Oreochromis niloticus: one gene and its partners. The protein of the gene in region 1 purifies or fractionates together with the protein of each later gene. This does not show direct contact. Links are inferred from orthologs where the notes say so. Each region holds a gene or a part of one and is shown in the gene's direction. Other genes may lie near its edges. The genes, in order: nup133, ahctf1 and seh1l.

The links.
Region 2: the proteins of nup133 (region 1) and ahctf1 purify together in Homo sapiens (affinity purification with western blotting; 3 studies listed by BioGRID, with this or other methods). This does not show direct contact. The link is inferred for Oreochromis niloticus from reciprocal best matches to the Homo sapiens genes NUP133 and AHCTF1.
Region 3: the proteins of nup133 (region 1) and seh1l purify together in Homo sapiens (affinity purification with mass spectrometry; 4 studies listed by BioGRID and IntAct, with this or other methods). This does not show direct contact. The link is inferred for Oreochromis niloticus from reciprocal best matches to the Homo sapiens genes NUP133 and SEH1L.

The regions. Positions count from the first base shown.
Region 1 is NC_031971.2:5,371,822-5,382,070, forward strand, and holds the start of nup133 (nuclear pore complex protein Nup133), read left to right. Parts: upstream 1-5,744; 5' UTR 5,745-5,777; coding exon 5,778-5,905; intron 5,906-6,102; coding exon 6,103-6,218; intron 6,219-6,407; coding exon 6,408-6,511; intron 6,512-6,927; coding exon 6,928-7,161; intron 7,162-7,498; coding exon 7,499-7,669; intron 7,670-8,134; coding exon 8,135-8,290; intron 8,291-8,411; coding exon 8,412-8,482; intron 8,483-10,082; coding exon 10,083-10,230; intron 10,231-10,249. Other genes in the region: taf5l (TAF5-like RNA polymerase II p300/CBP-associated factor-associated factor 65 kDa subunit 5L), read right to left, coding at 1-281, 1,530-2,290, 2,864-2,968, 4,218-4,356. UniProt on the Homo sapiens protein: Involved in poly(A)+ RNA transport. Involved in nephrogenesis.
Region 2 is NC_031965.2:26,145,414-26,156,167, forward strand, and holds the start of ahctf1 (protein ELYS), read left to right. Parts: upstream 1-6,317; 5' UTR 6,318-6,471; exon of another isoform or gene 6,472-6,612; intron 6,613-8,900; 5' UTR 8,901-8,906; coding exon 8,907-9,027; intron 9,028-9,884; coding exon 9,885-10,035; intron 10,036-10,178; coding exon 10,179-10,281; intron 10,282-10,390; coding exon 10,391-10,571; intron 10,572-10,754. Other genes in the region: si:dkey-127k13.1 (PWWP domain-containing protein MUM1L1), read left to right, coding at 1-22, 962-1,022, 1,116-1,191, 1,316-1,366, 1,491-1,726, 3,722-3,943, 4,050-4,138, 4,217-4,298. UniProt on the Homo sapiens protein: Required for the assembly of a functional nuclear pore complex (NPC) on the surface of chromosomes as nuclei form at the end of mitosis. May initiate NPC assembly by binding to chromatin and recruiting the Nup107-160 subcomplex of the NPC.
Region 3 is NC_031976.2:5,533,001-5,543,215, reverse strand, and holds the start of seh1l (nucleoporin SEH1), read left to right. Parts: upstream 1-5,743; 5' UTR 5,744-5,860; coding exon 5,861-5,971; intron 5,972-6,397; coding exon 6,398-6,448; intron 6,449-6,570; coding exon 6,571-6,717; intron 6,718-6,800; coding exon 6,801-7,012; intron 7,013-7,329; coding exon 7,330-7,428; intron 7,429-7,519; coding exon 7,520-7,660; intron 7,661-7,826; coding exon 7,827-7,981; intron 7,982-9,635; coding exon 9,636-9,789; intron 9,790-10,215. Other genes in the region: ptpn2a (tyrosine-protein phosphatase non-receptor type 2a), read right to left, coding at 975-1,184, 1,408-1,545, 2,763-2,861, 3,038-3,138, 3,233-3,323, 4,792-4,848. UniProt on the Homo sapiens protein: Component of the Nup107-160 subcomplex of the nuclear pore complex (NPC). The Nup107-160 subcomplex is required for the assembly of a functional NPC.

The DNA.
Region 1 (10,249 bases):
GGGTATGTCCGGGAGAACGTCCAGAGACGGGCGGTGCGATCGTGAGAGCAACTGGCAAAGTAAAGGCTGCAGGGGCTGACGTCCACATCCCATACTGGGTAGACATGCCCCTGGTAGAGCACCGTGTTGGTGAAGCTGCCCAGGTCCCAGTAGCGGATGGTTGTGTCCTCAGAGCACGAGAGCAAGCCGGAGCTGTCTGTGAGGAAGGCGGTACGAAAAACTGGGCCGCTGTGACCTCGCAGCGTCTTTATCTCACTGCCTGAGCTGTCCTCTTCATCTACCTTGGAAGAAATGATGAAAGATTACATAATTATACTTGATTTTGTTCCTATGCAGCTTAATCTAAAAATAATGTACATCATTTATTTTTATATTAAAAATCTAAATTTGCTAAATAATTTAATCTTTAACTCTGCAGGTCTTTTTAAATCAGAGCCACCATCTACAAATGAGACCCATCTTATTGCTAGAGATCGGAATTGGATGATTTTCAGTGCACCCCACCACAACAATGTTTCTAAAAACAAACCTAATCAGACAGTGACATCACCATCGCCATCGCCCAGATAAACATGGATATTTTAAAAGGAGTTGAAGTGAAGTGGCTAAAGTTAAAGATATCCAGTGCGTAGAGGCAGCCATAAGCTAGCAACCTTGGTATGTGCAAGCAAAGGAAAAAAAACAAAACAAATTCAAGGTCCCTGTTGTCTAATGAATTTATAAATATACTGAAAAATAAACTATATAAAGCTGTTGCTCCTCCTTTTGTTTGGCAAGGTAAAACTCATTTTATCATTTCTACCTCTTTCCAGTAGCAGAGCACTTGGTTTCAGATGTTTCAGTGAAAGAAGATCTTCTAACTAACTCCAGCTTTGGAGAATAATATTGGGGGCAATAATTTCTTCTGTTATAATATTTTTTAAGTATTTGCATTGAAGACAAACTAAATTGTTTGTATCTGCTGTAATTTATGGTTCATAGAAAGAAAATCAATAACAGCAGGTTACACATTTTAACTGAGCAAATTGCAATTGGTTCAGCTCTGCTCACTACATCTTATCAGCCTTCCCTTACATTCTTGCTGCAATCATTCTGTCACACCTTTGACATACCTCTCCACCTGCTCCACCCTGCCTCCACTCCTTTCTTCACCTCTTGTGCCTGTTACTTTGGAAGGTTGCCCTCAGATATTTAAACTTATGTACTCATGTCAACGTCCACTCCTTGTGCCTGCAACTTTCCAACATCTTCCTCTCATTCACATACATGTAATTTGTATTTGCAACTCTTCCATCTGCACCCTACTCTCACTACAGATCATGTCATCTGCAAACATCACAGCCTGTCCGTCACCACTATAAACAAGACTTCACCAATGTGTCTCTGTTCTCATGACAAACTTTGTCTTGTCCTCAGGATTATTTTCTCATATTTTGTACACCAAAAGAAACGCATGCAAATTTTAAAAAAAGAAAAAGAAGATATGGAAACAATTAAGGTGAAGACTTCTCATAACAATGTCTACTTACTTCCTCCTCCAGTACGTCACATGCCAGGTGGATGTGTGACACATCAGCCTGATGGGGTCTGGCCTTAAGCTTTCTGGCACGGAGGCTCCACAGCTTTACCGTGGAGGTGTCAAATCCACCGGCCAGCAACCGACTGTCAGCCGAGACCTCAGCAGTGTTCAGCATCTGCTCCGTGTGGTGGAAGGCGTAAAAACAGACAGTGGTGAGTGACGGTGGTCCCTCACGGACTTTCTTGACGCAGTCCTGCAGAGCCTCGAGGGCTGCCTCATTCTGTGGGATCCCTGCTGGGACCTCCACCCCATCACCACTCTCTGTTCCATCCACTCCGGCCCAGGAGGAGGTGGAGTTTGGAGAAGCTGTCGACCCGCAAGCAGCTCCATAGAGCTGGTAGTCTGTCCGCCTCGAGGCACTGACCTCCAGCTGCAGGTGTGTACTGAGGATCCTACAGAGGGCGCTGTTGTCCTCACTCTGCAGGTAACGCAGCAGGTAGCTGTAGGCTGGCTCCGTCAGGTGAACCACATATTTGTGCTCTAAGAAAGCATTCAGCTTGGGGTTGGTCACAATGTCTTGTGCACTGAGGACATGGCGGAGCTGCTCTATGATGGTACACTGCTCACTGTCCTGAAGAAAGGCGCCATGAAAACGACTGTAAAAACCATCCACAGCCCCCTTCAGTCCAAAGCGCACCATGTCCAGGTGGAGGTAGACGAAGAGCGGATAGAGGACACTGCTCACCTCTTTTGCCCAGGATATGTCTGCTTCTATTTAGTAGAAAACAAATATGTATATTTTTTAGGCTTTTGTAATCAATAACAACAAAGGTTAACAATATCGTAACACAGTTCCATCATCTCATTCTCGATATCCATGTGGAGCTGTTTGTATACAAGCCAATAATAATCCATTTTGTTATTCATGCCCTTTCAAAAAATGTAAATGAATAAATAAATAAATACGAACATAAATGTATGAAAGACAAATGTTAAAACCAAAGTTTGTAATCCATGTTTCTCTCTTAACAGTCAGGACAAAACAATGTGGACTCGCACAAAAACAGCTTAAGAAATGTTGACAAAATGAAAAAATATCAGCCCTGGATGGTCAATAATACAAAAGCACAATTATCAGAGAAAATAAAAATATTTAAAACTGCAGCAATATGTCATCTTTCAGAAAGAAGCCCCAGTCGTCCACAACCTTTGTCTCTTTCTGCTGTTTAGGATGCAGCTTTACCACTACCTAAAAAAGTGGAGCCGAGGCATAAACTTTGGGAACAACTACAATTATAGATGTGCAAGTCTAGACTCATCCACTCAGTGATGTAGAGCTCATACCTGACAGGAAGGCGCGGAGCTTGGAATACTGAATCTCATAATGCTGTGGGTCATACTGGCATGGTGCAGCAGAAACGACATTGGAACATCCTGACTCCGTCTGCACTGCTCAGACATAGAGAAAGAAGATACAGAAGAAACCAGAAAAAGTGTTAATTACATAGAATATTGCCAGTCAAAGGGTCAAATACATTACACTGCATTATGAAAATAGATTATTAATCTTAACCAATTATCCTAGGGACACAGGTGAGCTGGAACCTATCCCAGCTGTCTTATGGTACACCTTAGAAAGGTCACGAGTTTAACACAGGGTTAAAACAAAACAAACAAAAAACACAGTCTCAAAATCACTTAGAATCACCAGTTACCTAACACATTTCTCTGCACTGTGGAATTAAACCCAAGCAGGCCCATGGAAACTCAAAATCCTGCTCCTCACATACAAGGTCTTTAATAATCAGGCCCCATCTTATCTTAATGACCTTGTAGTACCATATCACCCTATTAGAGCACTTCACTCTCGCTCTGCAGGCCTACTTGCTGTTCCTAAAATATTTAAAAGTAGAATGGGAGGGAGACCCTTCAGTTTTCAGGCCCCTCTTCTGTGGAACCAGCTTCCAGTTTGGATTCGGGAGACAGACACTATCTCTACTTTCAAGATTAGGCTTAAAACTTTCCTTTTTGCTAAAGCATATAGTTAGGGCTGGACCAGGTGACCCTGAATCCTCCCTTAGTTATGCTGCAATAGACGTAGGCTGCCGGGGTGATTCCCATAATGCATTGAGTTTTTCCTTTCCAGTCACCTTTCTCACTCACTATGTGCTAATAGACCTCTCTGCATTGAATCATATCTGTTATTAATCTCTGTCTCTCTTCCACAGCATGTCTTTCATCCTGTTTTCCTTCTCTCACCCCAACCGGTCGCAGCAGGTGGCCGCCCCTCCCTGAGCCTGGTTCTGCCGGAGATTTCTTCCTGTTAAAAGGGAGTTTTTCCTTCCCACTGTCGCCAAAGTGCTTGCTCATAGGGGGTCATATGATTGTTGGGTTTTTCTCTGTATGTATTATTGTGCGATCTACTGTACAATATAAAGCGCCTTGAGGCGACTTCTGTTGTGATTTGGCGCTATATAAATAAAATTGAATTGAATTGAATATAGACAGCTCTAGGGTCTACAAGGTTCATGCCCAAAACCAAATCCATGTTGCACTGAGGCGGCAGTGCTAATTTTTGCAGTGAAGCCAATCCTGTGGTGTATGTGTAGTGTTTTCGTGTGATCAGTCTTTTCTCATAACTATGTGGCTGTGCGATCTATTAATTAGGCTGGAATCATCATCATCATCATCATCTTACCCGTGAGACTTGCAGCCATTTCTTCGGGGGACTGGTAGAGCTTGGCTCCTTTCAGGGAGCCGTCAGTGTCCACATACTGCCTCCTCTTCAGGTACTGAGCCACGGCATACTGGATCTGCTCAGTGCGAATCCGCTTCATGACCTTACGAGCACAAGCTACAGTGTCAGACACCTGGCACTTTTCACAGCACCTTCCTTCTCTCGCTCATCCACCCAATAAGTCGGAAGCATATAGTAACTGTTTTCGTGCTCACAACGGACTACAAAATACGATACATGTCTGTGATTACTAAAAATTCTCATTCATCATCTCCATGGTCAAATTAAACCTCTTGAGCACAGCATCACCTAGTTGCTAATTACATAGCAAAGCAACGCTGGCGTGTTTATGTTACAAGCATTACAAAGGGCCCAGCTAGCACAACAAAGATACGTGCCAACTAACCTGAAAGTCAGCAAAGAACTAGGCATGCAGTGTAAAGCTGTCAGGTTTCGACAGTAGAGGAGGATGCTTACACCAAGCTAACTGGCTAACTTCCTAATGCTAGAAGTGGGCCTGCCCGCTAAACTTTTAGCGGGATTAATGCCGTACCATCATTATTTGGACATTGCTACTTACTGCATAACGTGTTGCTGTCCGCCTTCAGTTACTGTGTCCAAACCGACCGCTTTTAACGCATCACTGTATCTGGCTATAACTACTATATCAACGTCGTTCGCTGCCGCTCCATCGTGGTTATCCAACCCTGTCAGACTCCATCAAATCATGCTAGCGAAAGCAGCTAAGCTAGCTGGCCGCTCTCATCTTTAATCAGCAATTCTAGGTGTCGTTAATCTACTGCTTTCGCCTGGCTCCCGTTAGTTTCAAGCTCAAGGGTAAATCTATAGATAACAGATTTCCTGAGAAGAAAAAAATCTTAGAACACAGTTATTAGGTTGATAAAATATAATTGTTGTAGTTCATAAAAGTCAGCTACTATGATGAGATGCACTGAATAGTTTGGAGTCTCCTGAAGATCTGATGTCATCTTGATGACATAAATTTGTGTTTGTTTTATTTTATAAATTTATATGTAAGCTTAAATTTACTGACCCAGAGGCAGAATTGTCTCTGCCAATCCCTGCTGTACAGAACTCTGTGTGAAAGTGCACTATTAAGTCACTAAATTAACTCTCACAGTATTTAGCGTACTTAACTCACTTTTTAAGCCCCTTAAAAACGTAGAATCAGTAGAGCGGAGTAATTTAAATTTTTAATTTTAATTGGATGAATATGGCCTACATGAAAAAGTGTGTGTGTGTGTGTGTTTTTCATATAGTCTGACTGACTTACCCACACAACAAGACTTTGCTCTGTGAAAGTGTTACAGTTGTAAAATCTCGTGTTCGAGTTGTAAATAAAGTTTTACGAAATAGGCGGAGGAGGCGATGACGTTTTAATCCAGCGACTGCACCGCGCGTTGTTTGGAGAGTTGTATTAGGTGGATCTTTGGTGTGAGCGCGCTTTTCAGGCAGGGTTGTAGTTATCACTGTTGAACAGTTCGGGGTACCACCGCAGGCATGTTTAGCCCCCGAACCGCCCCGGGCTCCGGCCGTAGGCAGCCGGCCAGGACCGCCGGGAGGAAGAGTGTCTCCGGTGCGGTCCCTGGCCTCCTGTTCTCCCCGCGCAGGACGCCGTTGTCGGCGAGGTGAGTGTTGTCGGATCAGATTTACTCAATCGGAAGGCTCCATATATATGACAAATAAAGACAATTTTACAGATTTATAGATGTTGTTCTTTCGTGCTGAGTCGTCAGTGCAGTCTTGGATTAACTGGGGCCATCAGACTGTAGCTACAGCTGATTGTTCTGAGTTTGTCCACTCTTAATGTTTGTGTCCTCCCCAGATCAACACCTACCCGAGTTCAGAGCCATGCGGGGGCAGAAACTGTTAACTATGATGTGCAGACCTTTGGGTCATCACTCCCCGTCAAAGTTATGGAGGCACTGACGATGGCTGACGGTAAGAGAAACATTGTCTTCTTTCTGAGAATGAAAGGTGTGCGTGTGTAATTTTATGAGCTTCAAACTAACATATTCAATTTCTATTTTCTTATATAGTTGCTCTCTCTTCTCTTTATGTTTCTGGTTGTGGGAGAGTTAGTAGTTTCCACTAAACATTTGTTTTTCATTTTCTTATTGGTCACTCTAGCTGATGATCAGATCTCAGTGAAGGTGTGTGAGAGCGGCTGGGCCTGGATGGTTTGTGGAGAGAGTCTGATCATCTGGAAGATCTGCCAAACTGCTGTAGCTAAGGTATGATTCAGGGCAGACATTTATATATTTTTTTTTCAGCCTGAGTTTAAAATTCACTTTAAAACTACATTTAGACTAAAATTACAATCTAAAAATCATTAAAGAGTTATTTTAACATGTTCTCCAAAATAATGCCAGCGGCGTGAGGCCTTTTTTCCATCTGTAGGATCGACAAAGCAAATAATTATTCACTGATCATTTATTTCATGTGTCTTAGTTTTATTTAAAGAGACTGGGTACAGTAACATGTGGTAAATGTTTCAGCGATAGAAAGACAGACTTTTTTTTCTCTCACAAAACCTGCTTTCTTATTCCGATATTAGATGGATTAAATGATGAATCAAAACAGACTGAAAGTTCACAATGTGCTAAACTGGCAGCTTTAAATTCACAAACTAAACTGTGTTTTCCTGCAGGTCTCAGTTTGTAAGGAGTTGCAACTGCCCAGCAGTGAGTACAACTACGCTGCTGACCTTGTGGCTGTGACTTCCACTGCTCCCCTGGAGATGGCTGCTGTTCAGTCCATCTCTGTCTTGGCGGTGGCTGCAGAAGGAACGGTTCGCTACTGGCCCAGCCTCTCCCAGGAGGGCAACTACACAGAGACCGATGTGGACCTGGGAGATCTGTGCAACTTTGTTGTTGCTGTCAGAGTAAGTAGGTTTCTTCAGTTGAAAATAGACTGTTTTGCTAACCAATTTGTTACAAAAAAAACTCACCACTGACCCTGCCAAATCCAAAATACTCAAATATTTTTGAAAAGGGTCCCAAAGTACAACCACATCAAACAGTATCACTCCAGAAATCACTGGGGAGTAATGCTGCTGTCCAAGTTTTATTCACTGCATACCTTGAGATATCTTGAAACATTTAAACACATGTAATAAAGCTGGCATTGCACTTTATTTTGTGTAAATTTGTAAGGAACAGGATTAAATCAACAACATATAATTTGACCTCTTTGTTTCTCACTTCCTTCTCCTTTCTCAGGGTGGAAGCTTTGTCTTGTCCTCGGTAAAGAATCAGCTCTTGAGAGCAAGTGCAGATTCTTCTGGCAAACTGCAGTGCCGAGCTCTGCAGCAGGGTCAGGGCATGCTCTCTGGCATCGGACGTCGTGTCTCCAGCCTGTTTGGCATCCTCTCGACACCAGCCAATGACACAGTGAGTCCTGTTAGGAGAGTCAACTGCAGAGTTTGGGCTTTCATTTATTCTATCTGTACAACTCTTTTCTAGCTTATGCATTTTTAATAATTAAGACTAGTCAGTGTACAGTGTTATTATTTTTCATCTATTGGTGATGACCTTTAAATACATCGAATAGTGTTGCTCTGAGCTTGACTCTTTTCCCATTTTTACTGTCATTCATTGATAATCTGATTATAACCTGCTAATTCTTTCCTCCAGGTGTTATTTGTTTGTTTTATATTAATCAAGTTTTGTTTTTGTTTTTTTTAATCAATTTTAGCCACAGAGAGAAATGAGTGATTACTTTTGATTCCGATTCACAAATTTCTTAAACACCCTTTGTGTTTTAAGTCTATCAGGCTGAATAGTGAGGGCAGTTCTTCTCCAGTGTCAGTTTAGTTATCTTCAGTATTCAGACTTCTGACTCTATTACTGCTGCAGCTCTGCAGTGTGCTGTGGGTGGGGGAAAGCAGCTCCCTGTACACACTCACTGATTCCAGTCTGAGTAAATGGGAGGTCGACGACAGCTCGGAGCACCAGATCCTCAACTGGGACGCGCGCAGAGTTCTGAACGAGAGCATCACAGACGCTATATGGGTCAGTGTAAGCAAACATGTGACCTTATTTATTACAGATGAAGGGTTTTTTCCTGTTCTGCACTGTAGCAAAGAAAACTAAATAAATAAGATTAAAATGAAAATGATTTCCTTTCCTCCAGGGGTCAGAGAGCAACTATGAGGAGATGAAGGAGGGAGCAAATGTGGCATACCTGGACATGAAGCTCAGCCAGTGAGTGTGTTCTACTGTGTGTGTGTGATTAAAAGCAGCAGGGCCACACATTGGTGCTTGTCTTTGGATTCACAAAAACCTGAATCATTTTTGTTTCCTTCTTCTTCTTCTTCTTTTTTTTTCACTAAAATATGCCGCATTTAGGATTGCATGTGCTAAAGCATGGTAAAGTGTTAGTTAGGGTGACCAACCGGCCTCTTTTTTTCTTTTTTTTTTGCACTTGTTGACTTGTAAAAGTCTATATCAGCGGTCCCCAACCTTTTTTGCGCCACGGACCGGTTTATGCCCGACAATATTTTCACGGACCGCCCTTTAAGGTATCGCAGATAAATACAACAAAATAAAACTAGTACCGGTACCGAAAAAAAGAAGATTTATTCATAACACACGTGAAAAGACCCAGGAAAACCGAGTTAACGATAAAAACGATAACAAAATAACGCTGAAAACCGATAAACACCCTGAAAACCATTTCACACCTGAGCCTCAACTCTCGCAGCCCGGTACCAAACGACTCACGGACCGGACCAGTCCGAGACCTGGGGGTTGGGGACCACTGGTCTATATGACATTTTTTATTTCATGATTCATTAACCACACAGAGAAGGCATCGTTTAAATATGTTAACGTTTTCGTGAAGCAAACAGTATTATTAAAGTTCTTCATGACTGGACCAAGTGTCCTCTTTTTTGGAAATCAAAATATGGTCACCCTAGCGTTAGCGTACTATGGCCAAACAGAGCTACCCATCTTGTGTCACTCTGCACTTCAAAGATCAATCTCAGAATTTTAAAAAATTATATTCAATATATAAATATTAAATGAAAGATGGATTTTATCCATTCAGTCAATAAAAAGACTTGTTTTACACTTGTCTCTCCACTTGTTGTGTCTTAGTCCGGCGGTCCCCAACCCCCGGGCCATGGAACTGTATTGGTCCGTGAGTCGTGTGGCACTGGACCACAGGACTTGAGGCTCGGGTGTGAAATGTATGGTTTTCAGGGTTTTTATCGTTAACTATGTTTCCCTGGGTCTTTTCCCGTGTTGTAGTTGTCTTATTCTGAAAGAAATATTTACACGTTACCATAGTGACCAGAGAGCATTAACCTCCTAAGACCTGAACTCTTCCACAGCATGCATTTTTAATTTATCTTTGATATTTGGGCATATTGGGACCCGATGAATGCAAAAACAAAGAATTACCAGATTAAAAAAAAAAAAAAAAAAATTAACGGATTTTTGTTTCTAAGGAAAATAAGAGCCACATATGAGGATATTCGTTTAAAATTTTGATAGAACAGTAGCAGTATAATGTCCTTGTAAGTGGATATCAGGCCCTTGTAGAGATTTAGTATTTTGGTCTAAATAACTCAAAATGATGTTTATTTTGTTGTATTTATCCGCGACACCTTAAAGGCCGGTCCATGAAAATATTGTCTGACATTAAACCGGTCTGTGGTGTAAAAAAGGTTCTGGACCGCTGTCTTCGTCGACAGGTTATCTTGTGTTTATTTGTTGCCTCCATGTTCCTCTATTATTCGCTATTCTTCTTGAACTTACTGCACCCCTGGCTGAACTGAGCTACACTGTTTGCTTTCAGAGCCGGATTGGTGGTTTTAGCTGCAGCCTGGCACCCGTCCGACACTCCCTGCCTGGCCTACTTCTGCCTGGTCACCCTGCAGGACAACGGAGCCACCATCTCTGACCAGTTCACCGTGGAGGTCACAAAGTACAGCTCTCCCTTCCAGGTCAGACCTAAAGCTGCTG
Region 2 (10,754 bases), on another chromosome or scaffold:
CAATCATTGAGAAAAAGAAAGGGTAGGATGTTTTCTGTTTTTGCTTTGTTGGTTCTTGCCTGTGTCTTTAGGTGATATATACACTCACCAGCCACTTTACAAAGTACACCTTGGGTTGGACATGCAGGTCCACAATGTGAATCTCCCTTTACACCATACTCCAAAGGTCATTTGAGAACAGTGAATCCATTGTCATGTTCAAGAAAGCACTTTGAGATTATTTGAGCTTGCAACATGGTGCTTTATCCTGCTGGAAGGGATAAAGGGATATACATGTGATGGACATGGTCAGTAACAATGCTCAAGTAGGCTGGGGCATTTAAACAATGCTGAAGTGGTACTAAGGGGCCTAAAATGTGGCATGAAAATATCAATCCTCACTATTGCACCACCACTAGCAGCCTGAGCCATTGACACAAGGCAGGATGGATCCATACTTTCATGTTGTTTATGCCAAATTCTGATTCTACCATCTGAATAATGGTCAACAGACCAGGCACCGTTTTTCCAATCTTCTGTTTGTCCAGTTGGAAATGGACAAAATTATCAATGTCCAATTTTTGGTGAGCCTTTGTGATTTGTAGCCTCAGTTTCCTGTTCTTAGCTGATAGTACTGGCACCCACTGCTGTCTAGTAAATCCTAGAAATCATTGTGTGGGAAAATCCAGTTTATAAATGATTCATGGCAATCCAACTGGCAGCAACATCCATTTAAAGTCATTTAAATTGCCTTTGTTCCCCATTCTAATGCTCAGTCTGAATTTCAGCAGGTTGTCTTGGCCATGTCTACATGCCTAAATGCATCGAGTTGTTGCTATGTGATTGGCTAATTAGATATTTGCATTAAGAATTTGAACTGTATCCAATGAAGTGGCTGATTAGTGTATCCACATTACGTAGTGTTATGTTACATTTATGTTATTTAAATAAACTTTTCAGTTGGGTGTTTGTGTTTCTAAAGGTTTGCTGTGGCTCTAAAATGTTTGAAACCTTTTGACTGTGAAGAAGCTAATGAACTCATGGTAAGAACTGCTCACGGAGTATGTTCTGATTTCTGAAAATGTTCTCTTGACACAGTGCTAAACTGTTTTTGCTTTTTTGGTTTTTTTAAACAGCGTAAAGCCAAAGAAAGCTATGATGCTGCAATATCATGGTCCCTGGATCTCATAACAGACTACAGATTTCGGATTGGTGAGTTGCTTATTTAATGCCTCAGCAAGCAGAAACACTGATGTGTGTGTGATATGTTGTTTAAACAATATTAGGATGATATCACTGAATTAGCTGCAGTACTAATCATGTTTTATCTTTGTAGCATGTGGCTCATTTTCTGGCTCCTTCATACAGTACTTTGACCATGATATGAGTAAGTTTCATCCTTGACCTGGAATCACAAATTATGAGGCTAGCACAGAATTAAAAAGTTGAATACACCTACAGATTCTCTAGGCCCTGATGTTGCTCTTGACTGCTGGTCTGAATTGGTTTAGGTTATCCTGTGAGGAGGGAGTATCCAAAGGCAGCTTCAGAGAGACTAACCATCATCAGTGATTCGACAATGGAGGAGCCATGTGACGTTAAGGAGGACAGCTTTAGTGAACAGCAGAAGGACATAAGGTGTTCAAAAAGGTTGCTGCCAGATCGGACCCATGCTGCCCACAACCGCGCAAATGAGAAGCTCGTACATTTCATTGTCAAGCAACACATGGTCGACGCACACCTCCTGGTATGAATGACTCTCTTGCTTTTCTGCTGGTGTAATTCTTGTGTTTGTGTTGTTTGATTGTGTTGATTGTTTGTGTTCCTCAAAAAGTTACAGTGCTGGTGTCACTTCACTAAAATGTTGCATCAGTGCTGAGTAATGAGTGCTGCTTTGGTCTTTTAGGACAGCCCAAACTGAAACAGAAGCAGAAAGTAGAGTTTTATACCAGCGCAAAATAATTTAATATTCTGAGTAATTGGAATATTTCATTTCCTTTATCCCACCAAAGTTTTATGAGATGAAAACTTGTATTTGGTTTCTGTGGCTCAACTTAGGCTTGAAACTTTCCTGCTCAAATTATGTAACTTTTCAGCTTTTGAGTTAGTGACTGCAACAGTGCCGGATCTAGTGCACCGCTAACCTGACCCCACTGTGGGCTGCCCATTGTGGGCTGTGTGGGTACACCAGTACTGGGGGTAGTGTGTTTGCCCATTTAAACAGCCAATAAAGGGCCCCCAAAAGGTAAAACTGCTGCCAGCCCTGTGTGGGAACACCCTACTGTGAGACCCACGTGAGAAATGTGTGGGTTTGCCCTACCCACACAGCCTCACAGTTCACCCACTGCACAAGCACGTTTGTAGGCCACGGTTTTCATCTTTTTTTACAATACAGAATCACAATACATATAAAGACCGGGTGAGGTTGAAACACCAGTCAACAACAAGGACTTTGAAGTGCTGCAAGAGAATAGCCCTGTTTGGCCCTACTAATGAAGTTACAATAGATCCAAACAAAAGCCTTTCAGCAGTAATTCTTCATGGAAACCTTTCACTTTGTAGTGTATGACTGTAATATACTTGTATTTGGAACAAAAATATGCCTTGAGTTCCTCTTTTAGCTGGCGTTACCATCTTGGAAGCTGAGAAAAAACACATGATGACCAGCTGACTTAAAACATGTAGCCACTGGTGACCTTTCATCTGAATTCCTTTTGTTGCTTTTATGTGCAGAGATCCTTTTTCGTGTCTGTTTGTTTTGTTTTAATAAATCTTGATTAGTTTTCACAGCATATACCAGCCCAAATGTGGATTTCAACAACTAAATCATAAACAACAGATTTGTTTTTTGTTTTTTATTTTGAACTTATTTCCAGTGTGTGGAAACAAATGCACATCCCCTTTGGTCATAGCACCACATTTGGCACAGTTACATAGGTCTGGAAATTAAAGATAGTCAAAGACTAGACATTTGAATTCAACTTGCCATCATTTATGTTCTTCTTAGTTCCTTGTTATAGCAATTGTCTCACCTCCTAAAAGAAGGATTGGGATAGATTTTTATTAACACCTTTTTCATTTCATTTATAAAGTACAACACTAAGGTTATCATCAAGAAATGCATATTATTTTTCTGTTATACAGGTTCACGTTTTACCTTGATTGATGACATACCAATCATGATTATATGCTATTTGCTGATGCTGATAACTGCTTATAGCTGAATTACCATAGTTTGCTGTTAGGTAAACGCTAAGAGGTACTTATAAGTGAGTACCAATATTTTGTTTGTCTTAACTATTTATCAAGACCAGGTATCCTATGCTTTTATAAGTTTCTGAATTGCACGCACTGTTAGTATGAGACCAGAGCAAAGTGGTCAAAAGCAGTCTATCTGTTAAGACGTGGAGATTTGTTTGAATGAAGTATGGGTGGTAGAGGCCACAATGAGTGTAAGCTGACCTCGATTTTAGTATACTTACAAATTTAAGTTCACCCCAGTAATGTCCAATACTTTCAGGAGCTCAACCAGTTATGCAAAGAGTGTGCCAGAGCATGCAAAAATTAAACAAACAAATGGGTGAATATTGCAAGTATTTGCATATGAAAGCTATCATTTTTTTTTCAGTTGCAGTTCTTTTTAAAATCTGACATCGGAGCTGTGCCACACGTAAGATGTGATGGCATAGGAAACCATAATTGATTGAATAAATCCCTTCCCATTGTATCACACTTCCTACAGGCTGTAATCCATGGGCAGGAGAAGTCCAGGTGGCTTCGTTCCTTCTTAAGTGCCAATCGTAGACGGGTGGTGAACATATACCTTGAAGATGACCATCAGCTTGACCAAGTCTACTGCTACCTAAATGAGCTCTATACAGCAGCTGTGGCCAACGCCCCCTGCGTAGCTGATGTGAAATCCATGGATCGTGTCCCTTTTGTCCTGGATGTGCTTCTTCCTGAGGTGAGCTAAAGCCTACATGAGTGCTCGCAGGTTTTGTTTGCAATGTTTCCTGATATGCAGTTCAGTTTCTGTAGTCCAGGTGTCATGAGTTTATCTTTCTGTGCAGGCCATTATTTATGCCATTGCTGGAGTGGACAACGTTTCAGTAAAAACAGCAGAAGAAAAATACCTCAGAGGGCGATGTATAAGCAACAGGTGAGACTTTTATATGTTAAATTTTTAAAAAGAATGACTTCAAGGCTAAATACTAATTTTTTGTTGTTGTTTTTTCAGAGAAAGGCAGCAGTTTGATTTAAAGATTGAGCAGCAAATGAGGAAGAAATCACAACATCCAAACACTTCCATTATTCTCTGACTGTCGGTCTGAGTGTCAAGATTTGTGATATTTGGAGTGTTTTAAGTTTTGTTCATAGGTAATACAGCCATAACCTGTGTGCCTTGCAATCAATCATTGCACTGATTTTTTTTTTCTTTTTGTATACTTGTAAAAAGTGAATATCAAGCATATAATAAAACCTAAATTAAGGCCATGAAATGCAATCATGAAAGGTGGTTTAATCACATAACTTTATTCCATAAGTGGAAATGTACACATGGTCAAATAGCTTCTCAAGCAGCTCAAGTATTAATTATCTGTCTGCATGTGCTTTTGTAAGAGTTTTACATAAAATAAAAAGTGTTATAAAACTGTTTGCTGAACTGTGAAGATTCTCATACACACTAAAGGGACAGGCACACAGAGACTGATTCACAGAGACTATACAAAGTCATAGACAGGCGAAAAAAAACTCTGCCATGGTGAAGAAAGTGGTGATGAACATTCGCCAACATCAAGGTGAGCAAGTGAAGCAACCACCAATGAGAGAAAAGGATACCCCTGATTCACGTATGATGGGGTGGAAAATGAATCGGAGGCAATCAGATCCTGGAGCGTCCACTACAGACCATAGACGGTATAATGTAGCGTTTATACCGTCCATGCCAGTAACTGACAGTTGCTCTATGGACACGCCTCAATAAATGGCCAAATGCCAACAATCGTCATCACACCAGCAATAATAAACAGAGTTTGCTCTTGTGGGCCTGTTTCCAACCCAAACATTTCATTAGAAATAATTCTGTAACTAATTTTATATACTATTATTATTGTATTTACAGCAGTGAAAAGTCTGGGAAGAAAATTACATGATTTGCCAAAGTGAAAACAGCACAGCCCGGGTGTGGACTGACATAAAATTTTCTTAGAATAAAAATGCTTCTGTGCTGGGCAAACAGGCAAAGGAAAATCTTCATAATAACATTTAAAATGCTTTTTTTTTTTTTCATTTTACCAGCTATTGTTGTGCAAAGCCAACTGGACCTTGTGTTATAATAATGTAATAATAAAATAATATTAGTACATGAGACTATAAACTTTATTTCAGTTTAAATTTTAATTCTAATAAAGGTACTCAGCTTTAAGAAGTTAAGTAGAACATGAGCAGAGAAAAAGAACGAAACTTAAAAAGCTCTATTTTCTGTTGCCTACATTGTAGAGGGTGAATTTGCCTCTAAGCAGGAAAAAAATGCAGCAGGTTTCACAATATAAAAATGTACAGACCCAATATCTGATTTAAAGACATTAGGACTTCATGCAGGCTTTAAATTGACAGTTATCAAATACCACTGAGCAGTCCCTAGCTTTAAATCTAACCTCTCTTCTTCCTCTCCTCTTCTGTCTTTCTTATCTTTCTCCAGCTCTCTTTCTTTTCTATCCCTGTGAACTGCAGCAGCTGGACCTTTAGGTAGCAACACACTGTGCGACAAACTGCACACATGCAGTTTGTGTGTTTGCTGATGTTTGTTGAGCTGATAGAAACATTGCATTTGAAATTAAGTGACACTTAAAAAATATTACTATCTTTATGCCCCTCGCTCCTAGATGTGCCACAACAGCTACTAATTGGCACATGCAGCTATTAAATATCGATAAATAAAAACACCGGACCTCTATTTAAGTACAGTAACGAAATATTTGTCCCTGCTGTCTTTTTGTCAGAGGCACCGTCTCAAATCACACCACCCCTTTCACTCTTGGTGCTATCCTTCTGTCACAAATCACAACTGACACTCGTCTCCACCCACTCCACCCTGACTTGATGCCAGCTATTTAAAATCATGTATCTTCACTACCTTTCCTTGGAGCTTAACTTATTATGGAGCTGTTGCTTTGCCTGTCTGCCCAGCATTGGAGCATTTTCACCACACGGCAGATGATCCGTGTGTTAACCCCTGAAGGGAGCAGATAAAAAAAAGAAAAAGAAGAAGTTTGATATTGCAAAGTCATTTGACTTTCCTGTTTTAGTTTCTATTGTTCAAACAGAAGCAATGCCCAGACTGAGGGGGGCAGCAGTGCGTCCTCGATGTGTGTCTATTCTGTCGGAACCACGGCGAGGAAGAAATGCGTCAGAGCACTTTTCGACTGTGGAAATGGCGCTCTGCGTTGTTGGAGCCTGAAGTCAGAGGATCCTTTCGTGCTTGTTTGTCAGGTGAATCTCCTAGAGGGCTATCGGTAGGAGAGGTACTTTAAAAAGCAACGGATTATGACAGAGGAAGAAAGGAATCGAGATAATTATAAAGGAAAACGAACCAATTGTGGCTCTGATAAAGCCGTCAACATTCTCGCCCAGGTAGTGTAAACGTTGGTAGCAAAAGCTAGCGGCACATTGCCTCACGTTTTCCAGGTCAGCTTGGAAAGATGTAACCGGGCTAGCTCGGCTCGCTAAATGAGTTTATGCCGAGTAAATCCCCACACAGATTCACAATGCGGGCGTCACTTGTGTTAGACAGAAACTAACTCTGCTGCGGTGCTGCCAGAAGCTACACGCTAACTGCGTTGCCTGGCGTTACGTTTTAACTGAAGCTAAACCACCAAAATGACATCAGTCCACCTATATGCTCAGATTCAAGTAAAACAAGACTCGTCGCTGACAGGGCTGTGGTTTTACTAAGATGTCAACAATGATAAATGCCAGTTATGGTTATTAGCTGGGGTGGAAAAAACAAACATACCGCAAGTTAGATGCACACTGCTAGCAGAAAGTTAGCTGCGTTAGCGAAAGTATTGCTGTACCTCGGGCTAGTTTAGCTAGCCACCCTTACTTTACCTTCGACTAGTGGTTAAAACTTGATGGGTTTAGTTTCAGTCACCGATGTAGTTGACTTGTTGTAGCACAAACCTGATAGTCTACATGAAATGGTAACAACTTTCAAATACTTAGTTATGCAGATGGCTACCCTTAGAGTTAGCTTTCTTAACTTTGACGGTGAAATTGAATAAACTGTAATCCTGCATGACCTTGCAAGCTAACTCGGTAACCTGCTAATGTAAGAGTGTATCAAGGCTACTACCTATTGTTCAGCACTAGATAACACTTGCATTGTTTCATTTATCTTTAAATTTTTATCACCATTGTGCGTTACTTAACAATGTAAACAACTGTTTTGGCACTATGTAGACGCTAACGATCCAGACAACATGAGCCGGTTACTGTGGTTTATGGAGCTATATAATGTTTTCATGTTGTCTCACATTTTTCAGCCTCGCTATATGTACATGTTCTGTCTTGTAGAAAGTTGCAAATGGTAGAAATGCATATAGGTGTCACAAAGACTTGACAAATGTTGACACACGTGATCGCTATATGTTTGCTTGTTTAAGCTATAAGTGCGCTTCAACAGTGTTTTGTTGTTCTAAAAAACATTTGCCTCCGACAGAGAATATATATTTATTATTTTGTAAATGTTATATCTGTGTGTTCAAACTCATGCCCTGGCATGTGGCTGCTGGACTACAGGCATGTTGCGCGGGAGTTCACTTGAATGCAATGTGTTTCCTTGTGTGGCCACAGGGGGCGGTATTGGGTACTATTTTGCAAACTGAACGTGACAGACTAATTTTTTGTCAGCACTGTATACACAACAGACGCAGATAATGCTATCTTAGTGGAGCACTAGTGCAATGACGAGGCCAGTCGACGGCATAAACATGAGCGTACTTGTGTTAGTCATGGTAATAAAATGAAATAAACATTTAAAAAAATCTTACATGAGTAAAGTTTTAGGAGTGGTCTGCCCTATGTAGGGAAAATTGGAGTATACAGCTTGTGAACCACAACATAAAATGACCTTGACATCTCTAGTTTACAGTGCTGTTGATGTAGACCTGTGAATTTACATGTTTTGGTAGTGTCAGTTATTATGAACAGGAAAAAAATGCCACTTGAGCAGGTTGGCTACTCGATTATTGTAATAGCGCTTTACTCCTCATCTCACTGTGAGAAGAATGTGCTAACAGATGTGCAGCTGTATGCCACGCGTTGTGGATTGGAAAGCAAGCCCATTCTCAGCCCCAGCTGTCCAAAAGTTTGCTGACAGCATGCTTCCTGACAACTGAGGGGGCGCAGGCAGTGTTTTGAAAGAAAGACCTCTTTTGTGTAGAAACCTGGTCAAGCACATAAACCCCAAAGTGGTTTTAGGGATTAGTAAGGGTTCAGGAGGACTTGTATTTTGTTTTAATTTGCTTGTGTTTACTTAATGAGCAAATAGCTTGGCTAGGGTAATGTGGAAGGAGGGAAATAGATGTTTTTGACTATTGACAGGGTTTTTATTGGCTCAGAATGGGCCCGTGGGAGATGAATACATACAAAATCAAGCCTGAGTTTGTTTCCTTATTTGACATAAACATGTGCATTTTATGTCTTTCCCCTTTGAAAAATAAAATGTCTATCATTTTTCTGTAAATGCAACCCAACTTAACAAAATTGGTTTTATAATTTTCCTTTTGGTTCTGCTCTTTTTATAAGCTGCCAAAAAAAATTCTAATAATAGTTTTATCATATTTGGCCAAAATATTGGGTGAAATGTAAATAAAAGAATCTTTTTAACATTTATTTATTTCCTTTTTATGTTTATGCAGTGAACAATGCATGACCTGACTGCACAAGTCACCAGCAGCTTGCTGCCTTTCTCAGGAGTGACTGTAGACGCTCTGGGGGAAGATGAGATTACGCTAGATTCTGTTCTTCATGGGAGTTTTACTGTTGGTAAGAATATTTCATCATTATTTTAAGCATTTAACTGTTTTTTTTTTTCTCTCTTATTTCTAAGCAAATAAAGGATATGAAATACAATACCATCACCCTCATATGAAAACATGTTATTTAATAAACTATTGAAACTATATCACCCAGGTGGGAAAAGAATCAATAAATAATAAGTGAAAATAAATCTGATGAGTTACTTGGTTTTTGACAGTCTGACATCAGGAAAAACATTTTTCTCTTTTTTTCCAAGTCACTACTTACTGTGCATGTTTAGGACATTCGGTATATATTGTCTGACCTTTGACTTTGACAGACTTTACTATTGGATGGACTTCTGGTTTGAAAAGAATTTCAGTATGTTCTTTCAAACAAATAAAAGAGCAGATAAGTTATGAATGGAAGTGCAAATGGTAACTCATCTTTTCAGGCTTGCGTTCATGAACCAAACTTCCGCTTTGCAGGACAATAAGAACTTCAAGAACTTGCAACACCATAAAATTAGGGCAGACAGCAATCCAGATGTTAAAGCTGATTGTTTCTTAAATATAAAAATCCGTTCATACACACACATATGTTTTAATTTCTTCTGTTGTTTTTAGTATTTTTATGTTAATTATTTTGCTTCACATAATTCTTTTACCGTGTAAATAAGTTGCTGATGTTGCAACATTGGGTAATTAAAAGGGAGGAAGAAAATCACCTCAAAATCTAACATAATTGGGTTTTTCTTAAAGGCTTTTGTTATTTTTTTGTAGTAATTTCCTGCTTTATCATCACAAGGCTAGTTTTCAGCTTAAACTGCACAAAGACCTGCAGCTTTTAACTTTATATTTTTATGCCCTTGTCTGTGTATGAAGGTCGCAGCGGGTTGGCCTGGCTGGCCTGTGGACCCCATTTGGAGGTTGTCCATGCAGTGACAGGAGAACGGCTGTCTGCATACTGCTTCAGTGGTGGAGGGGAGCACCCACCCAATGTCCTTGCCGCCAGAGACTTCAGCTGGCTCAAACGGTTCGGGCTTCATTTCATTCATTCATGATTTATTTGGCTCATTTGGATGTGGATGTAATCAGTGAAAGTTCACTATGAAGTGGATACATAATAAAAGTAATGACAGTGCAAATGTTAAGTCCTCTGGTGGTTAATTTTAACAGGTCTGGTTTGCTGGTTGGCTTGGAGGAAACAGAAGGCAGCGTGCTGTGTCTTTATGACTTGGGACTGTCAAGAGTGGTGAAGGCTGTTGTCATACCAGGCAGAGTGGGTTGACTGTAGTTTTTACTATTTTAACATTTAGACTCAAGTTTCTAGAACTTTAGTTAACTTGAACATTTTCTATTTTTCTTTTCTAAAACTCTCTTGCATCTAGATCACAGCTATTGAGCCATTAGTGAGCTATGGCGGAGCAAGCACGTCAACACAACACCTTCACCAGGGTTTGCGCTGGTTCTTTGGAATTGCAGCCGTAGTAACGGATCTCGGTCACGTTCTCCTTGTGGACCTCTGTCTCGATGATCTTTCCTGCAACCAAAGTGAACTTGACGCTTCAGGTGAGAAATTTCAATGAGGAAGTGATGTGTAGTATGCTTTCATACTTTTATGGATCTCTGTACTTTCTGTTCCTTTACTGGAAGCTGTTTTTTTTCCTATTTCACCTTTTCATTGTATGCAAACATATTCTGGCACCTATAGATTGTACTTTTTTTTCTAAAAGAATCTCTCCCTTTATATTT
Region 3 (10,215 bases), on another chromosome or scaffold:
TGCAGATTAGAGAATTCTTCCAAGTCTTAATACAATACTGTAATCCTGGTAACTCTATGTGCATTCTAGCCACCTTCCTTTCTCCTGGCTCCTTTTAGGCTAGACTTTATTAATATAGCACTTATCCAGTCTTACTGACCAAAGCACTTAAAAGTGCATATACATTCATGCAGCGCTTTTAATATTGCACTACTGTACAGGGATTTTCCTATCACACTCACACATCACGGATTTGTAGTGGTGTTGCTTTCTGCCTGTGTTAGTTTAGCATTCTGGGCTGTATTATCAAGGTGATAATGCCCTGCAGGTGATAATAATCATAATCATCTTTAGGTAATTGAAACCAGATAATGGAGAGACATCCTGCATATGCTGTGTTTGATTAATAGAAGAGGCTGAAAATCTCATTCTGATCAACTCGCTACTTACTTGTGGTGTAGTGTTGAACAATATTCAAAGACCTACAGCACTTAAGGTCTGGTTAACCTAACAGCTGGCCAAACAAAATCATGTTAACAAGGTTGACAGACAAGTCAAATGGCCACAGGAAATTTGCAAAACTTTCTAGTGAAATAAGATTCATCATTTTTTTTTTAACTTTTAGAGCTTTAAAACTCATCAAGCCATGATAAGAATCAGGAATTTAGTTCCATATAGTTGCAGACACATGTGGAATTGTGGTAATTTAAAAGTTATTCTTGACATACAGGAAGAGAAACATTTCCCAAGAAATAATCAGTTAAGGGCCTCTTCTCTGCTCCAGTTAAAAAACTCCAGACTTTACACACTCACGCTGAATACCTACACGCCGACACTCCTCTGTAAGCATGTTATCAGCATGCAAGTACAATCAGAGCATGAACGCCTCATCTTACCATCATCAGACTTTAGTCATTGTAATGTGAACCTCTTGCGAAACAATTCTCTTTAACAGTGGCAGGCTTTCAGTGACATTTCCCCACTCCCCTTCTCACCAAAACTAGACAGGTATCCACCAAGGCAAAGGTCCCTGAGCGACCAATCCCAGCGCTGCAGTGCACCACTGAAGGCCCATGCTCTGGGTCCAGCGAGCCAGACTCCCGAACCTTGAAGAGGAAGTTGAGGAAGGAGGCAGGGGATTCTGGAACACCGAAGTCAGGCCATGTGGTGTAGTGAAAGTGATAGATCTCTCTCGACTCCCCTGTCTGTAGTAGGCATAATGTTTGGTCAAGACTGGAGCATTGTATAGACACAGTTCTGCATGACTGAGCTGACTGTCACTAGGAAAACATTACACACTCTGAAATCACAGTCTTTTTTCAGCTACATGCCATTACACTTAAATGGTAAGAGACTGGTTAAGCAGTGCTTAAAACCATGCTGAAAGAGAGAGATGTCATTAACCAATAGGTGCCCTTGCATACTCACTTTTGTATTTTGCAGTTCCAGCAATCTGATTGTGAAATAGGATTGGTCCTCCTCTGACAGTAGCCTCACAACAAACCCTGTGTCTGTGAAAGACATCTGTAGCTCCTCGGTGGTAGGCCAGTATTGCGCGCACTTTTCCTGTTGAGACAAATACGTTCAGTTATTCATGGATAGGCTGTCATGTGCCTCGAGCCATTTGAAGAACTTCTGACTTAAATACTGGGCACAGCTGCACTTATGTACACTATTTCTCCGATTCAGAAAATCAACCGTGCACGAAGAGCACAACTAATTACGTTCGTGTACACCGAAGTATCTGACAGCTTGTTTCCAGTTTCCATAGGTTGTTCTTGGAACCAAGGCCATTATAGTTAGCTACACTAAACTCAACTAAAAACCAAAGTGTGGAGAGAGAGAGAGAAAAAAAAAAAACTTAACCCCCCCCCAAAAAAACAATGAAATACACAACAATGAAACCTCACTGAAAATGAAACCTTTTCAGAGTAAAACCTAAACTGAAACATGAAAACCAAATACAAGTGAAACTAAAAATAAAAAAAAAACACATTCAAAACTAAATGCAAAAACAAACTAAGTAATCATTAACTTTCCTGGAACTGTGGTTAAAATTTCAAATAAATGGAAACAACAGAACTGAAACTTTACATACAGTACAGCTTAAAACATGACCACAGAGCTTAAGACAATCTTGTGAAACACAGAGTTCTGATGAAGTACAACACCACAGAGCAAGAAAAAGACATTTTAAACTGGATTTTTTTTTTTTTTTTTTTTTTTAAATGTAAGGAAATAAATTTTTTCCATTGTCAAGTAAAGGAATTTGAGTCATGATTCCTGCCCAAAATATCTCAATTAGGCTTTGATCCATAACGAATTTAAACATGTGCAGCTCTTCAGTATTTCAATTCACTTTTTCAAAATTGTGGCATTCTTCTCAGTCTGTCTGTCAGCATGATTACACCTACCAGGGTGAAATTCATGAAACGTGGTGAAGAGATGGTACATGCACGAAAAACAAGCCAATTAAATTTTATAGTAAATCTGGTCATCTTTTTGAAAACTCCAAGACAGGGCTGAAAGCCTTTCTAGTCTACCAGATAAAAGTGGATAGACTAGAAAGAAAACACAATAAAACGTATCTTGGATTCTATTTCATCTTGTAAATGCACAGAATTTTAGCATCAGTGGAAACAGGCATTGGATCTCAAACCTTTTGGGATGAGCAAATGTATCTACATCTATTAATAAAGATTTGTCTCCTCAAACTTTCAAACAACCTAGCCAGCAGGGGGACTTCAGAACGTAATGATTAGCAGGTGCTGTAGTGTACTCACAGATCCTTTTTCAATCACTCTGTTGAGCATTATAACAGCTTTGCAACTCTGTTCCCAAATCATCAGCCAGAAATGGCCGCATGTATTCCTCAAGGGGCCCTGTCAAAGCAAAAGTAGAAAATCCACATAAATGAATAACATCCAGAGATCATCAACAACTCCCAAAATGTCAAACTCAAATCCTGTGTATTTTCCTTTGAGTGGCACGCAGATGTGTTCAACAGATATCCGTGCAGACAGTTCAGTGTACACTGCTTGTCCTACAATCTACATACCTGAGAAAGAATGTAAGCTCTTTGGGCTTCTTCCACATCGACTAAACTTGCATTGATGTAGTCATTTTCAGAGTTTTCAAGTTTTACCCGACTGTGATCGTCTGAAACCAAGCAAGAGATCACAGAGCAATTATGATGACGTCATTCTCGGCAGCACATATCATCAATGAGAGCCTTAACCATCGTAACACTCACATGGGCTGACATCTCTGTAGCGGTTCAGATTCCGGTTCACTGGAAGCTTTGCCACTTTGTAGGAATATTCACTGGCTTGGTTACGGATCTCCTGTTGCAGATGAGAAACCAAACAGGAACTCAGAAGCATCACTTTGAGTTGATTCAGTAGACAACAGCGACAGGAAACAGTGACACAACCTGTTCAATTCATGTACCTCCAGTTTTACTGGAGTGGTGACCAGTAATGACATTAAAAGAAAAACCATACGCAGAGATCAAAGGTCCTCAATCCTTTGTACTCAATTCATTACAACTGGTCTGCTTTGTTTTCATTGTCATTTGTCAAACTTAATGTACTGCAATGCCTCAGGCTGTTGTTTTCCTTTTACAACACAGTCTGCATGGGCAAGGCCAAAGGGCGAACTCAGTTCTATTATTATTATTTCATTCTAGAGAAACAGAAGCAGTTTTACTGGACACAAGAAAAGAATAAAGGAGAACAAAAATTATTTTTGACACTCCCAAGAATACTGTCGTGAGCAGGGGCGTGTCCCCTCACTGCCACTGAGCTACAGCACCATGGATAAGACTAGTGGCAAAAGTAATTTTTAGTAGTACACAAAGTACAGTTTCAGTGCATAGATGTACTAAGACATGATGCTGTATTCTTGGTCTGCATATTTGACTTCCTGATTTAAACCTCCCCATTTATTCAAGCTTGGGACTCATATTAGAAGTAAACTGACAGAGATAATCCCATAACATATGGAACTGAAAAGCATCATTATGTACAATGAGCACTATTGGTTTAAATAGATTATCATGCTAACGACATTATCCTTAAAATAGGTAAGAAATTAAATTAAGTGTTAGTATTCTCATGTCTGTTCAGTCCCATTTAAATTCTCAGTAGGACTGGACTGCATGAAAGAAATTTGATCTTTTATGAAATTACTTATCCATGCACTTTTTATAAATACCCCCCGCTCCCTGTCAAAAAAAGGTTTTGAAAGGTTTTTTTTAAAAACATTTTTTAAAAATGTATAAAGTGTGCACGTTCATTTCTTCTTAATTTATTAACACTCATGTGTGAAAAAACAGCTCTAGTTACATGGCATCTTTGTAGTTCGCAGCTGCACATTGCAGGGTCATAGCCAAAGTTTAACCGGAACAGACATATTATAAACGAAATGCTGTGCTGCGTGGTAAAACACAACACGCTTTTCTGTGGAAGTCCTGATGAGTTCTCAGAAACTGCGGCTGACGTCTGCTAGCGTCAGCCAGCATTAGCTAACCGAAGTGAAGATCGTGCCGATGCACGTTTTCCAGCTACGGAAGTCAGCTAGCGCGAAATGCTAGTTACTCATTCGTCTTTACCAAGTGCACTCCAATATGTATAAAGAACTTGGAAGTCATGTCACGAAGTGTAGAAATTTACACAATTAAAAGCGTGGACGGGAAAGTGACCAAAAACTCGAAGTGGTGTCTAACTTGATAGCTATCAAATTAGCTAGCTAAGTTAGTTAGCAACCGATCGTCATAGAAACAAGAGAGGCCCGGTCAGTGTCCCGACTTACATTGTAAAGGTTTTGCCATCTCCCCGACGAATCAATGTCTTGAAATTCTTCCTCCATTGTGTTGTAGTTAGTGAACCCAGACACTTGCCGGAATAATCTCAGAGTGTTTTCAGCACCGTTCACCAACTTACTCCTTTCTGTCAGCCATCTAAACAGCAGTGTGTGTAACCCTAGGAATCCCTGCGGGGAGTCTGCTGCTCCGGCACAATACTGCTTGCTTGCTTGCTGCCTGCACGCTGACTGACCCGGGTTGCCAGATATGCGTTCATCACAGCCTTCCGCAAACACACACACACACACACACACACACAAAAATACAAAAAACAAAACTAAACTACACTAAACTACAAAAATCTGATATTAACATTAATATTTAAAAAAAACATACGCAAGGATATTGACACTTAGCTCAGTGTTTTATTCAGTTGTTTCTAACTGGCAGATTCTTCTGGCCTTACTTAAAACACGAAAAACAAAAAAACAAGATATGTTGCAGTATTTCAATGAATGCATTAATTTAATTAATTAATGCAATACTCTTATTGAACGCATTAAAGTTCTTTCACAATCTCTTTACTGAATGTTTTTAAGTACTATTATTTTATGCCTTTACAAAATTCCTTTGCACAAATCTGTTTAAATATTGTTACTTGAAATTAACTTTTATTAATAAAGTTAGCGAAGAAAAAAACTGTCAGTTGGATCAAACCTGGCAACCGCGCAAGAGGCGGCAATAAATTTTGACAATATATTACTTACTATATTTACTTTGGCAGTTATGTATTAATAAACCTATTAATCTGTCTGTTTATCTGACTACGTATCTTCAAAGTAACTCTAGCTGTAGCAGTTTTTCACGGAATAGCTTTCGATATATTTTATCTTCTTATAAAGAATCCCAAAGTCGCTTTGAGCTGCTTAAAATTTGTGTGCATGCGCCGCCGTGTGGTCAATAACTTGTACTACACACAATCACATTACCGCCAAATAAACACACAGCATAAGTAGACACATGACAGGCCTGCCAGTTAATCGTCCCAGCTAGAGTTGCCGGTACATAGTTGTTATCATGTTTGTTGCGCGTAGTATCGCAGCAGATCATAAAGATCTAATTCATGACGTATCGTATGATTTTCACGGCCGGAGGATGGCGACTTGCTCCAGTGACCAAAGTGTCAAGGTAAGCTTTACATCATAGTTTGCTAATGTTAGCATTAGCCGTTACAGCTAGCAGGATAGCCTTGCCCACATTACCGACACTCTCACCTTTCATACTGAAATTACTGACTCGTTTTCCTGACAGACATGGCATGAGGTTGTTTGAAAAATCTTCCTCTGGTTATTACACTCGAGGGAAGTTATCTCAGTTTAAAATGCTAGTCTGTTAGCTCTGGTGCTTGTAGCACACGAGCTAGGCTGGCTACAGATAAGCTCTATACCACAGTAGTGTAGTTAAGCACTGCCGAGTTTTCCGACAGAGCTATCGGTGTATTTTTTATTATGTGACGACATAATAAAGGACGTACATACAAAAGTCAGTGCAAAATCGGTGATAATTGTGCACAGACACATGAGCAGTATTCAAGACTGATTTTATTCCACTCAGGTCTGGGACAAAAGTGAGAACGGAGAGTGGCACTGCACAGCCAGCTGGAAGGTAAACCACCATCATTTCCTTTTCTTTTTTATTTATTACTTTATGTTTGTCTTTTTGAGTATGGACACAGCATTACATTCAAAGTATCGATGGAGTTAATAGATGAATGTTGTTATGTCCAGACACACAGTGGATCAGTGTGGCGAGTGACCTGGGCGCATCCAGAATTTGGACAGGTTCTAGCTTCTTGCTCCTTTGACAGAACAGCTGCTGTTTGGGAGGAGATTGTAGGAGAGTCCAATGACAAGCAGAGGGGACTTAGCCACTGGGTTAGTACGCTTGCATTGCATTTCCCATTTAATATAACTGTTTGTTAGATTTCACCTGAGTGTTTCATGTTGGGCTTTTCTAGATTAAGAGAACCACGCTAGTGGACAGTAGAACTTCAGTGACCGATGTGAAGTTTGCTCCTAAACACATGGGTCTGATGCTGACCACCTGCTCTGCGGATGGGGTGGTGAGGATCTACGAGGCTCCTGATGTGATGAACCTGAGTCAGTGGTCCCTGCAGCATGAGATCTCCTGCAAGCTCAGCTGCAGCTGCATCTCTTGGAACCCCTCCAGGTTAGACTGCTGGTTTACTTTGTGTAGGAAACCAAGATGAGATTCAAATGTAGAGAGCAGGTGTAGTGCTTTTATATTATTTGCTTGCATATGTTAGACCATGTTTTCAGTTAATGTGCTTATGAAATAACACAATTACTACCACTAATTCTTTCAATAAAACAGCTTACAGCTAGACTTAATGTGACTTATAGACATGCAGGTATAACAACATAATGAATAATGCTGTGCAAGTATCACTTGACCTTTTCATGTGTATGTAACACCATGCTGTTAACAGTCTGCTGGTGTAACCATGCGTTGTCTCCTACCAACAGCTCACGTGCCCATCCTCCCATGTTTGCTGTGGGGAGTGACGACAGCAATGTAACATACGGTGGGAAGGTTCAGATCTACGAGTACAACGAAAACACACGGTGGGTATTCATTATCAGTGATGCACTAACCATCGCATTATGAAGATATACCAAAATAAATGATAGATTTTAATATTTATCTGTTTAAAAGGAAATATGGCAAAGCAGAGACACTTATGACGGTCACTGATGCGGTTCATGACATCGCGTTTGCTCCAAACCTGGGAAGATCTTTCCATGTGCTCGCCATTGCAACAAAAGATGTTCGAATATTTAAGCTAGTTCCGATGAGGTGAGTGTTTGCACTCTGTCTTATGGAAGGTCACAACGCACAGAAACTGGTGGAGTCACACAAATACTGCACTGAAGCCCTGCATGCAGTTCCTGAGCAGATGTTCTCTTTTTAAGATAATGAAAAATAAAAATTCAATTTCCTGTTTCCTGTGTCCTCCTGACAGGAAGGAGAGCACGTCCACAGGACCCACCAAATTTGAGGTGCAGATTGTGGCTCAGTTTGACAACCATAACTCTCAGGTGTGGCGTGTGAGCTGGAATATCACCAGCACCCTGCTGGCCTCCTCTGGGGATGATGGCTGTGTGCGCCTCTGGAAAGGTGAGGGGGCTCTTAACAACTGCTTGTTTGTCTTCCTTTTACTTCAGTGACAGCTTTAGTAAAAGCTATTTAATGTGGATATTCAGTGAATAGTACTTTTCACTAGGCATTGAATGACTTTTGTTCACTCATAGTTGCCATTGGTCATTTCCAAAATAAAGGATTTGTTGGTTCAGCTGTGTAAAGAAAGCTGACATTTTTGCACAGGTTCTCATCAAACCACAACAGCTTTTTTTTTTTTCTCTACTGACTGAGGTGCAAATACCTACTTGTGAATATGTTGTAATCAGGTTAACCAGCGTGTTTGTTTTCAGAGTATTGATCCCAGTAATCAAGCAGACTGATATTGGCAACCATTATGTCCTCCAGTTAGGAAACCTTTGCCCTCCTACCAAGCTTCAGGCTTTGTAGCTGTGTAGCAGCAGTTGCTGCTGTTAATACTAGGAATAATGATTTAGTCATAGGTTAAATTGTCCAGTTATTCAAGTCATTCCACACCAGATCATTTGGAATTGGTCCATAAGTTTATATGAAGTTTCTTCTTGTTTGAAAAATATTGGATAGATGGGATGCTATAGTGTCTGTAACTTTGGGCGTTACCTGGATGGGTCTGTTTGATCTACCTTGATCCATAGTTTGGTCTTATTCAGGCGGTGTCTATATACTGGTAAGTGGACTGCTACTTGTATAGTATCTTTCTACTTGGTTTATAACTCAAAGTGCTTCACCAAAACACACATTCATACAGTGCTTCTATCCTTTTTTTTCTAACATCTGCATACACACTCACACTCCCGAGTATTCAGCCTGGTGGAGTCAGGGAACGATTATTTTATTTTTTATTTGGTTTTAGAAACCAATGTTAAAAGATCTTAACAGTTTGTTTGCGCTGTAGCAGACTTTGTTTCTATATTCATAACCAAGCATCCTGACTGAGCTTACCTCTTTATTTGTGTGATTCACATTTATTTGTTTGTATCAGCAGCAGGAAAAACCATAGCGTCTCTTTTCCAGGTTAAGATATTTCTTTTTGTTTTGTTATGAAATGTATGTCTTAAAAGTTGGGCTTAATAGAAGTGTCAATTTTTACAAACTCCGTGCATATAGTACATCTGGTGATACGCAAGTATGGTCACACAGTCTGTCAGCATTAGAGAATTTATCTCTGCTTTGTTCTCTACATCCTGCTCTCTTTTTCTTAGAAATATGTTTTTAAAGCTGTTAAGTGCTACCTTCGAGTCCATGTCTGTTAAATGGTGTTTGTTGCTGAACCAGAATTACACAAAGGTTTTGTGATAGTTTTTACACTGACACAGATGAGAGAGGGCTTCAAAAATCTGAAAGGAATGAGCTCAAAGCGCTAAAGCTGATAAGTCCCCTCACAATAAATGGTTGTGCAGTAACTGTGTTCATAGCAACTAGTAGATTGTTAAATGATTTGTGTGCTTCAGCAAAATGCACTGGTCTGGAGGAACACCAGATATTCAAGTGGAGAAAAGAGCCCCACTTGAACACATGCAAAGTTATAGATTTAAAGTAGGGTAGAAGAACAGCTAAGTAAAGCCTATGACGGTGAAAAGTTCAGCTGTCAGATTGTCCCCTTTCTCCTTCGTGTGGGAAATAAATGCCGACTTTTCCTTCTGTCTCTGTGCAGCTAACTACATGGACAACTGGAAGTGCACCGGCATCCTGAAAGGAGATGGAAGTCCACTTACAGGTTCATCCGGTCAGCCCTCAGCCATGAGTACTGTGTTGGGCTCCTCTGTTCAGTCCTCCCAGAATGCCTTGAACGGGATGTCTGCAGGAAGGTAGGCAGCGTGGCGCATCCGATGCCACTCACCCAGCCCTACCCAAGCCAGTCAGAACTGACAACTTTGGTTTTTTTTAATGCCTCACCCTGACTGGGAGTACAGCTGCTTACTGACAAGCGTGTTGGACTCGCACTGATCCCGTGCTGCACTCATGCAAAGAGCTTGGCTTCTGGTTTTCACCACACAGGTTATCTACATTGTGCCTGTGGAGCCGGATGTGTTGTGGTGGTGTTTTCTAAGTGACTTCCTCTCAATTTATACTGATGCATGTAATAAGAATGGTTCCACTTTGCACTGTGAGTGCAAGGGCTAACTGTTTTCTTAATATATAAAAGGAAAATAAATGTGTTTATATGAAGCAGAAATTCTGTGATCATTAGATTCTGAGCCGATAGCAAATGTCAGTCTTTTGACTGACATGAC